2 linked regions of the Caenorhabditis elegans genome follow. The protein of the gene in region 1 purifies or fractionates together with the protein of each later gene. This does not show direct contact. Each region holds a gene or a part of one and is shown in the gene's direction. Other genes may lie near its edges.

Region 1 (6,700 bases):
TGATAGACTAGAAATAAAAGAAAACTGTAATTGGAGTCTGAAACTATTCTTACATGTATTGTAGCGTCCGAAATTTAGTTATAACGTAATTGTTCTTTTTTGCGTTTTATTAGCTGTGTGTTGCGCACTTTTCATCAATCAAAAGAATTTTTCCATAAAAAGGGGTTTTCGTTTTTTTTAATATTTTATATATTAGATCCACTTGAAGCAATTTGAAGCACATTTAGATAATAAAAAAGGTTTTGAATTCAAATTGTTTAAAGTTTAAAGGCGATTCTCAAGTTTTGCTAAAAAAAAAGGTTAACCCCTCTACACCACAATCCCCATAGATTCACGTTATATGTTCCCTCATTCTCAAACACCAAAACAAGCACTTTTGTAAAATTGAAACGTCAATTGAAGGGTGCTTGGATACAAGATAAATGCCACCCTTCTCACCAGAAGTTATAATTTCACTGAGTTGAAAAGCTATACACCATGACACTGAAAGAAAAAAGAAACCGAGCCACTTTTAGATATTGGAGCGCTGTGTGAGCGATTTTATGGCTCCCCGTATCGAGTTGGTTACTAAACTCGCTCAAACCTTGTTTTACACAATACCCAAAAAAGCTATATATATTTTGATATCCTATTGTAAAACATATCACCTCAGAGCACTTCAAAGTTTAGTACCAGCTGCATTTATGCATGTATACGTGTCTGCAGCTCTTGGCAACCGTCCGACGCACTTGACTCTTGTCTTGAAAAGTTTCAGCTGTTTTTTTTTTCATTCTGAAAAAATCAGGACTTGAAGTTTGATAATGCCACTGTCAAATGAATGTTAAAAGAAATTATTGTGTCTGGTCTGTAGGCAATTTTACTCTATTTCGGAATTTTCGAATTTATTAGGAAAATAAAATACGCTTCAGCTTTTAGCTTTGGAAAATTGAAGCAACACTTTTTTTCCAAATCTCATTCACCATAAATTAAAGGAAATAAGATTTTTGCTCAATAATTGCAATTGCACGCCCCTGACAACAAAACATTCAATATCGTCATTATTTTCTATATACTCCTCTGTAAATGAAATCTTATGAATCTAAAAAATTATAGATTTGAATGGAATATTGTTTGAATGGGATAAGCTACTTCCAGTATCTTGTTTACCTTAGTTTACAACGTCTTCTTTTTCGACTTCGTTTTGTCATTAATCTCACCTAGCAGGCAATCACGTGTTCATTCGTGCCTACCTACCTATCTTCTATTTTTGAAATCAGTATTCGGTGTTTGACACATTTCACGCTCACTCATTTTAACTAATCTGTTGGAAGACAACATTTTGGCAAGTAATGTTCCCATTCTCGTAGGCAGGCCTGTTAAAGCTTTAAAAATTCTTGACTGAAAAATAGTGACATTCAATAGTTGCTCTTGAGCTCTCAAGCACATGCCCTCCTCTTCTACTAGCTCATTGACTCAACCCACATTTTCTAGCTCCATTCTTATTTTCTATCTCATTTCTACTTTCCAATTTCAACAATTTTTTTAGTAACAGTGATCAATTGTTCCACGGTATGTGGTAGCGTTGCAAGGAAAAATGGAGTCGGTTACTAGACATCGGGCCGATATGATCTCGTTTTTCACATTCGACTCATACATCTCAATTGTCGGTGTGGCATACACAGCTGTTGGTAAGTCGGGGCGTACTGTTTTTTTTTGGAAACATTAAAAATATATTTTCTCATTTGTTCTATTTGGTAATATTGAAAAAAATTCCTCCGGGATTTTTTTCGATGCGCACAGTGAATCATTTACAAGTGCTTATTACTGATGGGTCTTATTACTGATGGGACTAGGAGACTAGGAGAAACCTATATACTCTATAAATACAATGAAAATTCTCGAACAAAAGTTTTTTGCAGGTCTCTTGGGAGTCTTCTGCAATGTAACAACGGTTATCATGATTCTGACCAACCGAGTGTTTCGCCTTTCCGCATACACAATAATGGCAAATGTAGCACTGGCAGACAGTATTGTCATGTTAATTGGTAACTTTCACAAAAAATTAGTAGTTGAAAACTTTTTACAATATCATCAACTGCTGTGCACGGCGATCGGAAATTTTCGGCAATTTCGCCAATTGCCGAAATAGCCGAAAATTCGATTTCCGCTCACCCCTGATCATCAGTATCACAAAAAACTTGATAAAATGTTTCTAGGGGGTAAAAAGTGAAATCTGAGTCACACCGAAACGTGGCCGCGTGGCGCAATGGATAACGCGTCTGCCTACGGAGCAGAAGATTGTAGGTTCGAATCCTGCCGTGGTCGAAAACATTTAAATTTTTTTATTCGATGTTTTCGGCTAATATACATTTTCTGCTGTACGGCTTGCAGTCATTTGGTAAAAAATCCCAAAATTAAGAAAAAAGTATATAGGGGGCACCCGGAGTTGAACCAGGGACCTCTCGATCTGCAGTCGAATGCTCTGCCACTGAGCTATACCCCCACATGTACAAAAGTGATCCAGCTACGGGAAAATGATTGACATTTTGCGGAGATATGACCAAATAAACTGTTTTGGACGTTCTCCGTGAAGGACAAATACGCCGGGATGGACAACTGACCGTGTCTGCGTTTGTCCAATTTCCCACACAGCTTTTGGTTTTTTCTCAACAAATTGTCCATCATTTCTCTAAAGCCCAAAGCGTGAACGAATGTGGGGGTATAGCTCAGTGGCAGAGCATTCGACTGCAGATCGAGAGGTCCCTGGTTCAACTCCGGGTGCCCCCTAAATACTTTTTGAACAACAACTGTAACCTAGCAAGTAGTTCAATAGAGCGCTGTTACTTCAGCCCGATTGATTTCCATTTATCATTATCTTTTCTGCAATGATTCTTGTCCGCCAATTCCCTCTCTCTTTTCTTAAAAAAGTCAAATATTTGCTGACCACATGGGGGTATAGCTCAGTGGCAGAGCATTCGACTGCAGATCGAGAGGTCCCTGGTTCAACTCCGGGTGCCCCCTAAATAATTTTTGACACATCGACTTTTGTTTTTTGAAAAATTGGCAAACCGTACTCCTAAAAAAGAGAGAACGAATTTTAAAAAGGTTACGACCACGGCAGGATTCGAACCTACAATCTTCTGCTCCGTAGGCAGACGCGTTATCCATTGCCCCACGCGGCCACGTTTTACCTTTTCTTCGATTTAAGTTGGTTTGCTGAATAGTTTCATCCTAAAAAATTTGCTGTTTCAAAATTCAAAATGATAAACACATTTTTTTAAGTTTTGCAAAATACTTAAAATAATAGAATTTAATTTCAGCTGGTGTAGCATGCGGGATGGATGTTATGTGGCCAAATCCAAATGATCTCACGTCATTCATTCCCAGTCTTGAAGAACCATACCAGAAGGTAATTTTTCAAGAAATCTATTTTTTGGAAATTTCGACATCTCTTAATTTTTTCAAGTTCAAGCTGCACTATCTGAACGTTTTATTATAGATTGCCCCTGTGTCGCTCCGAAACGACTCAAAAACAGATTCATCAGCAGCTGGTTTCGAGACTGGAAATATTCACGCGGTGCTCTCGTTTTCATTTGTCGCTGCATGGACAGCTGGAGTGGTCAGTGTTTAACTGCAAAATATGCATAAGTGAAGGCGGGCCTCTATGTCACCAATATTAAATTTCAGAGAAAATATGAAAAAAAAGTGACATACTTCCTTTTCGCAAGAAAAATTGCAGACATATATTTAACAAAAGGGGGCTCAACTCAGAAAGAACACTATCTTGTTCCAAAAAATAAGTTCTTTGAATACCTAAATTTTTTGTTTTGCAAAAAAGTTAAAAAAAAAAAACTATAGCCTACCTCTCAGAATCTATGAATATTTGTTAGTAAACTAACTTAACTATAAAAACATTACAAAATATTTCAAAAAATATTAGTACACTCAGTTTTAGGGGGCACGAGTGTCTAAGTGGTGGTGGTGTAGCACTTTTACCTAAGAGGTCGTAAGATCAACCCCACCCAACCCAAAGGCTCACCAAGCCGGCTCGGAAAGTGGGTAGTGAAATTGGTTCAAGGCAGGTAAATCGGGCATGCTTGAGACGAGAAGAGGTAAAAACGCCACCTGTAACCCTGACAAATCTCTTATCCGCAGGAGGCTTTGTCAGCTCACTCTTGTACCAAGAAAAAACCTACCTTTATTAATTTTTCCAGAAGTGAATAAATTTAAGTTTTGCTTTAATATCTTTAAAATAACATTCTCCAAGCGAAAAGAAAAATCTTAACCTGAAGAAAATTTTTTAAATAAAAAATTTGAAACTTTTTCTATAATTAACGCTTTAAAGTAATTCATATTTTCAGATCAGCTACGCAATGCTAGGAACGAACCGATGCATTGCAATATGTTATTATGGAACTAAAGCAAGAGCACTCAATCAAGTATCAGTTGCTGTTGCTTGTTCTGCAAGTACATGGATAGTCGGAATTGCAGCGGCACTTGTTGGAACACTGTCCCAGCCAATGATTGGAATACAGAGAACTATGTGGAGTATCAGTTTTTTAGAACCAAGACCTCACACGAGTATGTTGCACTTTTAATTAAAAATGTACAATTTTTGATATTCTAGCCCTGTTTTTCACACTTCTTTGCGCTGCAAATCTGCTCGGTCTTGGAGCTCAATGGGTGTGCTCAACTTTGGTTTTGCTGAAAATTCGTCAAGTAAAAAAGAAAATCAGCAAAAACAAACTTAATCAAAACTCAGCAAACAGATTCAGGAAACAGGTAATTTTAGCGCTCAATGAAATAATTGTAACTGGCAATTTCAAGGCTCGACTGACGTTTCAATTCTTCTACCCATCAATTTTGTGCACAATTTCTACATTTCTCTTTTTCATCAAACCATATGCATTTGAATATCTTTCCGGGTGGCAATTAGTTATTCTTCATCTCGTAAGCTTCAAAACTTCTAAACTTAAAATTGAAACTTGCAAAGTTATTTTTTCAGTTATGGTTGTGCAATCATACCTGTAACCCATTTATTTATGCATATTTCAATGACAGAATGCGCTTGACATACAAAGAAATCTTAACATGTGCGGCGATTCGATATCAAATCAGAAAACGAAGATCGAGTCACCCCTTCAGAATGCATGGGCGACATAATGTTTCTAAGTATGCTTGTTTCTTTTTCGAAATGCTAAAAAAATATATTCACGACATTTTAATTCAATATTTCGAAAATTTCCAGACGATCCAACGCAGCTGGAATGAAATCGACGCGAATATCAGCTCGATCGGGCCGTACAAACAGGGACGGTAATTTTGTGCGCAATTCACTGCAAATGCAGGTGAGTGTTGCACGAGCACATATTCTTTAAACTTTTATAATTGTTATTTGAAGAGTCGAGACTTTGAGCAGCTATGCGAGTTCATAATGAGAGTCAACCCATTGTACGATTCCAGTGAGGGATGGAGGGAAAGTAGCGATGATGAACCATTCCAGCCAGAGGTAAGGACTTGTCTTTCTAGTTATTCAAAATTTAAAATGGTATACTAAACTTTTCTAAAGCTTAAGCTTTAATCTATACCCAAAAAAAAGACATATTTTTTGATAAACTTAATGCATAGCAAGCGAGGTATCGAGAGTCGGAATTGAAAAATTTTCAATCGCACCATTTTTCATTTAAAAAAAAGTTATTCTAATTTAACCCATTACTTTTTGTACACGAAAACAGCTTGAGACAAAACTTTCAATACGTTTTAAAGAACGGTTATTAAAATTTTTAAAGTGATGACTAAACTCATAAAGGTGAAAGGCAGTAATGCTCAAGAGTAGTTAGTATACATACCATCCAACAATTAAAACTAAATGGAGTAATAAATTGCATCAAACAAAACATTATTGAGAAAATCTTGAAAACTCGATTATGTTACTGTTTAAAAAAAATTGGAATAAAGTTTTTTTTATGTATCTACTCTTCAGAGTTTAGTTCATCAATATGTGTAAACCATTCTAATTAGTATCAGTAAATTTTAAAAAAAGTTCCGCTGAAATTATTAATTTTTTACAGTTCACAAAAGAATTGGAATCTGCTCACAATCAAGGTGGATCATCCCGATTTGACAGCGAACGAGAGGCGAAATCTATCGTGCTAGATTTGGGGCGGCAAACAGTTGAGCATTGGGTGAAATTTGCCAAAAAAGCGAGCATTTAATTATTTTAATGGATGACCAACTACACATCTTATTTGATGATCTCTTTTTCCTCTCTAATGATCTATGAACATCTGATTCTTGCCAAAATTACCATTTTTACATGTTTCTATCTGTCACCCAAATTTGTGAGTTCATATGAACAAAATCTTCCATGTTGTTGTGTGTTCCCGTGTTGTGCACTAACAAAGAGAGTTCTCGCGACTGTGATATTTCAATTTGATTGCATAGCTTTCGGTTTTCTTTTTTCATTGTACTTTTAAAAATTACCACATCTCCTCATTATCACACATTTATTCCATGTTTTACCATGAATTGACATTCTAATAAAGCCATAATCAAATTTTATAACATTGAAAAACATTGCACTTTGTAAAATTGTCTTATTTGGCGGAAATTTTATAAGCCTACGTGCTTACCTGCCGCCTACTTTTGCATATTAACATTAACGTTTGGTTCTTGTATAGTGTACGTAAAATAGTTTATTGCCTATATTCAAGTAATTTAT
Region 2 (5,458 bases), 6.1 Mb from region 1:
TTTGTTCCACTTTTGATGGTATTTTATTGCGGTGACCTGGATTTTGCAACATGTGCATTCGAGGGTAAAGGAAGAAGGGAAATTTGAAAGAAACATTTGAAATGGGCATGTAAGTTAAGTTAAAGTTTGTCCAGCTATTCTATTTTTCAGGAAAAAAACTGCATATCTTTTACGAAAGCGATATCAAAACATCTTCGAAAGGACAGATTGAAAAGTGAAAAAAAGATAACCTAGTTTTTTTTTGAGACGGAAAAAAGTGACCACCAATTAAAAAAAAACTGTATCGATGCTGCATATGGGGTCACTTAACAAATGGGCTGCTGTTGCCAAAATAAAAACATAAAATTTATTAGGCATATGGTTTAACAAAAATAATGAATTATGCGGTATTTTTTTAGGTTCACGCTTCTAAAATTCATGAAATTAACATTCAAAAAACGGTTTAACTATCTCAAAAAATTCCCCCCCCCCCCTCTAAATTTTTACAGGCTTAAAAGAGGGAGGGTACCGAAATTCGGGCTTTGCTTTTTTAACTCAAATGGTCCAAAACTACCAAATTTCAAAATAAGACGTTCTGTTCTCAAAAAAAAGTTATGATTTGAAAGAAACGTTCATTTTTTAGCTAATATCTCAACTTTTTTGTAGCTTCCAAAAATGTATAGAAAGTGTGCCCGCATCGGCAAAAAAACATCTTAATTAACGAGATAACTATAAATTGTGAAGACATTAAAAGATAATAATTGAATGAAAATTAAGCTCCACACTGAAAAATTGCCCAGTTTTTCCAAAACTTTGAGCGGCACCATAACTTTTGGTTGAGAAATTTTCAGAACGTCTCATTCCAAAATTTGGTAGTTTTAAGCCATTTTGGGCCTAAAAAAAGCTACGTCTCAAATTTTTGTACTCCACCTTTGAACGATTACACTCGAATTCAGAGTTTTTGGGAATAGCTGGAAGTAAATTTTCGGTCGATTGGTGTGCTAATTTGTCAACTTTTGAGCACTTTTCAATCGAAAATGCACATAAAAGAGGAGTATCTACTTTGGGTTTTTTCTTTGTATAAACTCAAAATCTGCCTAAATGCACTAATTTCGTAATGAGAATTCTCAAAAGTGTCTCAAAAAAAATTTAATTTTTTTATAGAGGTGCAAAATTTCGAGAAAATTATGTCCTTATTTTTAACTTAAAACCCAAATTTTGCAAATAAGTCCGTGCCGCAAAGGTGAAAAATTTTTTTCTACTTCATTCTTTATTGCACATGTCAATCTCTTTTGAATACCTATTACTTAAATTTTAACTTAATCAACGAAATGTTGTAAGATAAACGACCAATTTGGCATTTTTTATAACTATATTTAGGTAACTTTTTTTTTCGGAAACCTTCCAACATCATGATGTAAGTTCAATTTTTTCTAACAATATTTTCACCTAATAACTTTGTTTTTTTTTCAACTGTTAACATACAAAAATCTTTAGAACTTATAGATTTTTTACATAGTTATAACGTTATTTCCAACATTCTCTGCAATATTTTTTCACATTTCCACAAGACTCCCATTCATCTTTTCTCACTGTGTGTCAGCCGCCTTCCCTTTTTTGCGTTATCTCGTTCTCTCCACCGCACTCTTTCGCAATGGGCAGCGGCAACACTGCACCGGTAGTACGTCAGCAACTACTCTCGAGAAATGCGCCAGCTGCGCACTTTTGTCTGTTTACACAATTGGTTATTATTATTTTTTTATCGGTTCTTGTTCATTACAATTTTTGAATAACTTTGATAGTTACTTATTTTTATTTCAGAATTTGGTAATTAATAGCCAAACGGGGAAAAATGCAACACAATGAGTGCCTTAACACAAATATTAATCCAAACTCATTGAAAGTCGATAAAGAGGTAAATATATTTTCATTTTCATGGTTTCATAATTCACTCAATCAATATTTCAGCTGACTCAAATGGCTCGTGACATATCAACAAGAATGAACCAAAGAATGACACAAGTCGAGCGTAAAGCCAATGATTTGGAAAAGTTTTCGAGACTTGTAGCATTACGAGTTAATAGTGCAGCATCACGGATGGCCAATCTTAAAAATCACAAAGCAGTTAGGCAGGTCAGCATTTTTTTTTAATTTTGAAGTCATTGGACCCAAAAATTTCAATTTAAGTACAAGCCTCCCACATACCTCATAAATTTTCCATTTTTTCAGGTTATTTCTACCCAAAACATTCCAAATTCTGAAGACATGCGGGTTGATAGCAGAAAAAGCAGCGGGTTCACTCAGGAATTTTTGGATTCTTACAAAAACGCAATTATCAATGCCGGAAACACTATGAACTTCCTGGTGAGTATTTTCATTCATCAAAAAACTTTTAAAAAATCTCTAACTCCAGGAAAATCCAACAGTCTTCACGTCCGGATATATTGGAGAGCAGTCTGAAACCAATGGTAATGCAAATGGACAAAGTGCCAGTAGACCACAAGCCAATAGGAATAGACAAAGAGCATCTAGCTCAGATGAAGATGAAGTTGTGGAGTCTAGTAGATCACGTGTGGAAATCGGAAATGGCGTAGAGCAGCCAAAAATCGATATAGGTCCACGGGTAGCACAAACCGTTGAGGAGCCGGTGACACTGGCAGGTGGGGTTTTTCAATTCGAAAATGATGTATCCAGGAAGTTACATTTTATAACTCATATTGAAAGTTCAAGGTAGGACAACGGAAAGAACGACGTTTTTCCGTTCATAAGCGGATACGAATTTGTTATCAAGCCTAAATCTTATGGAGTAGTGTCGGAAATTAAAAAAATGTAGAAAAATGATGTCACGTCTGAAAAACTTGTACTTCAATGTAGCTGTGACGTCATTTTTGTACACTTTCTTATTTTCCGACACTTCTTGAATAACCCTTTTACACAAAACGCCAATTCACAGGAACAATTTTTTAGCCACCCGCAACTTCTTCGCCAAACTTTTGCTACTTTCCCAACCAGCTTTATACATTTTTATTTTATTGAACTTTATTTCTTTATAAATACGAGAATATGCCCTGACATGAGAAATTCACAAAACTAAATTTGTTTTTTTCAGCTCCGCCACAGCCAAAGCCACCAAAACCATCTCCATCAACTACTGCCATCTTGGTAGATCAAGTCGGTCAAAATGGGATTCAACACTCACCTCAAGACGTACCGAAAGAAGTTGCTAGTATCACTTCACAAAACGAAAATAGCCTGGCAGAGCATCACAATGAGAAATTGGTATCCGAAAGTGCTATGCCAATTGAGAAGGGCCCAACGAGACCGGCGGCTATGGCTTCAGTGATTGGGGAAATGAAGAAAAAGGTTGCCGCAAAAGCCAAGCTTTTGGACTCTGATTCGGATACGGATCGTGAGCCGCTTGGTAGTAGTGAGACCGAATCGGTGACCGTTAAAAAACTGGAGACAAGCACGGTTGAAGTTGTGAAGACCAGTATTTCTGCTGATCCGGTGATTGTGATTGGCCATCCAAAAATTGAAGTCATCGCTGCAGTTGCAACGGTTGCAAAAACTGAAAAGCCAGCCGCTTCAAAGGTTGTTAAAATATTTATAACAATAAACTCGTAATGAAATTGTATTTCAGGTGCTTCCAAAAGCTGTGGCTACTCCTGTGAAACCGGCTGAAGCGACTCCAGCGAAACCAGACGAGTCTGCTCTGTCAAGAAAAATCTTAGCAAATGAGTTAAAGCCAGTGGACACTAAAAAGCTCGTGTCAAGCTTATTTGACTCCGACTCTGACTCGGACACGGACATCTTCAAGCCAACTACATCAATCAAGAAGCAGCCAACAGAAGTTGTCAAGAAATCGGTGCCACCCAAGCCTGTTGAGGTCAAGGTTAGTGAATAGAGTGAATAGTTGTTTGCTCAGCTTTATATTTCGCTCATCACGAAGCCACAATTTTTTTTCCGAAATGTCATGCTCCTATTTTCACAATGTTATATTTTACAGAAAGTAGAGACTCCAAAACCTTCTCAGCCACCTCAAGTCAAACCCACAAACCATACTGCTGTCCCAGCCACTAAACCAGTTGCGAAAAAATCTTTGTTCTCATCAGATTCGGACTCTGATGACGACTTTTTAAAGTCGTTCTCAAAATCAAAGCCTGTTGCTAAAACGGAATCCATTCCCGTTGTGAAGAAGCCTATTGAGCCAGTTGTTGTTCCAAAAGCTGTTGATATTCCAGCGGTAAGTTTTGTTCTAAATACACTGGACAGAGTATGTAAATTGCAGCCAAAACCAACACCTGTCACCAACACTACCGCAGTAATCCCCAAAGTAGAATTCAAAAAACCAGCCGCCAAGTCACTCTTTGATGATAGTGACTCTGACTCAGACTTGTTCTCTCTACCCACAAAACCGAAAACACCAATCGCTCCCAAAAACAGAAACTCGTCAATTGTCACTCAACCTGAAATGGTATGATTGATTTCTGAAAATACATATGATTAGCGTTTTTACTAGCTTTCAGGAACCCTCATCATCTGAACCAGCAAAACCAGCAAAACCATCAATTACCAAAAAAGAGCCACCAAGCGAAACAATGTCTGCAAAAATATCACTAATAGGAGACTTACAAAAATCATTCCGTCTCCCGGGTTCTACACCTAACATTCCTGTCAAAAACTTACCGGTTAGCGATGAAAATGATGTCGCTGCTGAGAATCCAGAAGATCACGTCGGTAGTATTTTGAAGGTAGTACATAGTCTGTTATTTGAAACACCAAGAAAACCTTTCAGAGTCGCTGCCGAGGTCCTTCAAACCGCCGTCCACCAACTCGTCCAAATGCGTCGTCGTCAAACTAGTTGAAATTTTTATAATGGGTCTAACATGTGAATAAATATATGAAGATTGTGAAAAGTTATGTAAAAATTGCTATATGAACATTTTACAATTTTTTTCTGGTGTGTAAATTGTCTCAAAATATCGAATTTTGTGAAAAGAACTTTTAAAATGTGGCCAACTAGAATCTAGAACTTCTAATGGCGCAATCTTTTTAGTGTTGTAGGTTCTGTGATTCAGATATATTTTTTGTCGATAGATAACTAGAGAAAACTAATTTCCGGCCGCTATGCCACAAAAGAGCTGGCAAAGTTTGAGGTTTCAAACTGCCAAAAAGCATTGCCAAGAACTTATTAAAAGGGCACATTAAAGAAAAAATTAGGTTTTGAATTTGACATTAGCAAGTCCTTTGAAGCTTTCACAAATCTTATGAATTCTCAAAAACTATTTATTAAAAAAAATACAATTTTTTAAATGTTTCAGAAATAACTTTATTTTTTTGTGTAATTTATTTTTCACAGTTGATTCAACAGTATTTATTTTTTTTGTACATGGAAGTTATGCGATGATGATCATGGGACAAATATCAATTATGGAATGAAGTGGATTGTGAGTTTTTGGTAAAAGTTTGCTGACATGAA

The links. Proteins that work in one complex are often made in the same cells at the same time.
Region 2: the proteins of K01A12.3 (region 1) and wshc-2 fractionate together in Caenorhabditis elegans (co-fractionation; one large-scale study listed by BioGRID). This does not show direct contact.

What each region holds. Positions count from the first base shown.
Region 1 is NC_003284.9:8,620,064-8,626,763, reverse strand, and holds K01A12.3 (putative G-protein coupled receptor K01A12.3), read left to right. Parts: upstream 1-1,573; coding exon 1,574-1,667; intron 1,668-1,898; coding exon 1,899-2,024; intron 2,025-2,224; exon of another isoform or gene 2,225-2,313; intron 2,314-2,398; exon of another isoform or gene 2,399-2,482; intron 2,483-2,694; exon of another isoform or gene 2,695-2,766; intron 2,767-2,928; exon of another isoform or gene 2,929-3,000; intron 3,001-3,088; exon of another isoform or gene 3,089-3,161; intron 3,162-3,299; coding exon 3,300-3,388; intron 3,389-3,478; coding exon 3,479-3,598; intron 3,599-4,340; coding exon 4,341-4,560; intron 4,561-4,606; coding exon 4,607-4,929; intron 4,930-4,984; coding exon 4,985-5,151; intron 5,152-5,227; coding exon 5,228-5,327; intron 5,328-5,380; coding exon 5,381-5,488; intron 5,489-6,050; coding exon 6,051-6,194; downstream 6,195-6,700.
Region 2 is NC_003284.9:14,745,509-14,750,966, forward strand, and holds wshc-2 (WASH complex subunit FAM21), read left to right. Parts: upstream 1-1,794; 5' UTR 1,795-1,831; coding exon 1,832-1,894; intron 1,895-1,947; coding exon 1,948-2,112; intron 2,113-2,208; coding exon 2,209-2,343; intron 2,344-2,392; coding exon 2,393-2,639; intron 2,640-3,088; coding exon 3,089-3,570; intron 3,571-3,619; coding exon 3,620-3,871; intron 3,872-3,985; coding exon 3,986-4,222; intron 4,223-4,267; coding exon 4,268-4,453; intron 4,454-4,498; coding exon of another isoform or gene 4,499-4,505; coding exon 4,506-4,730; intron 4,731-4,774; coding exon 4,775-4,840; 3' UTR 4,841-4,934; downstream 4,935-5,458.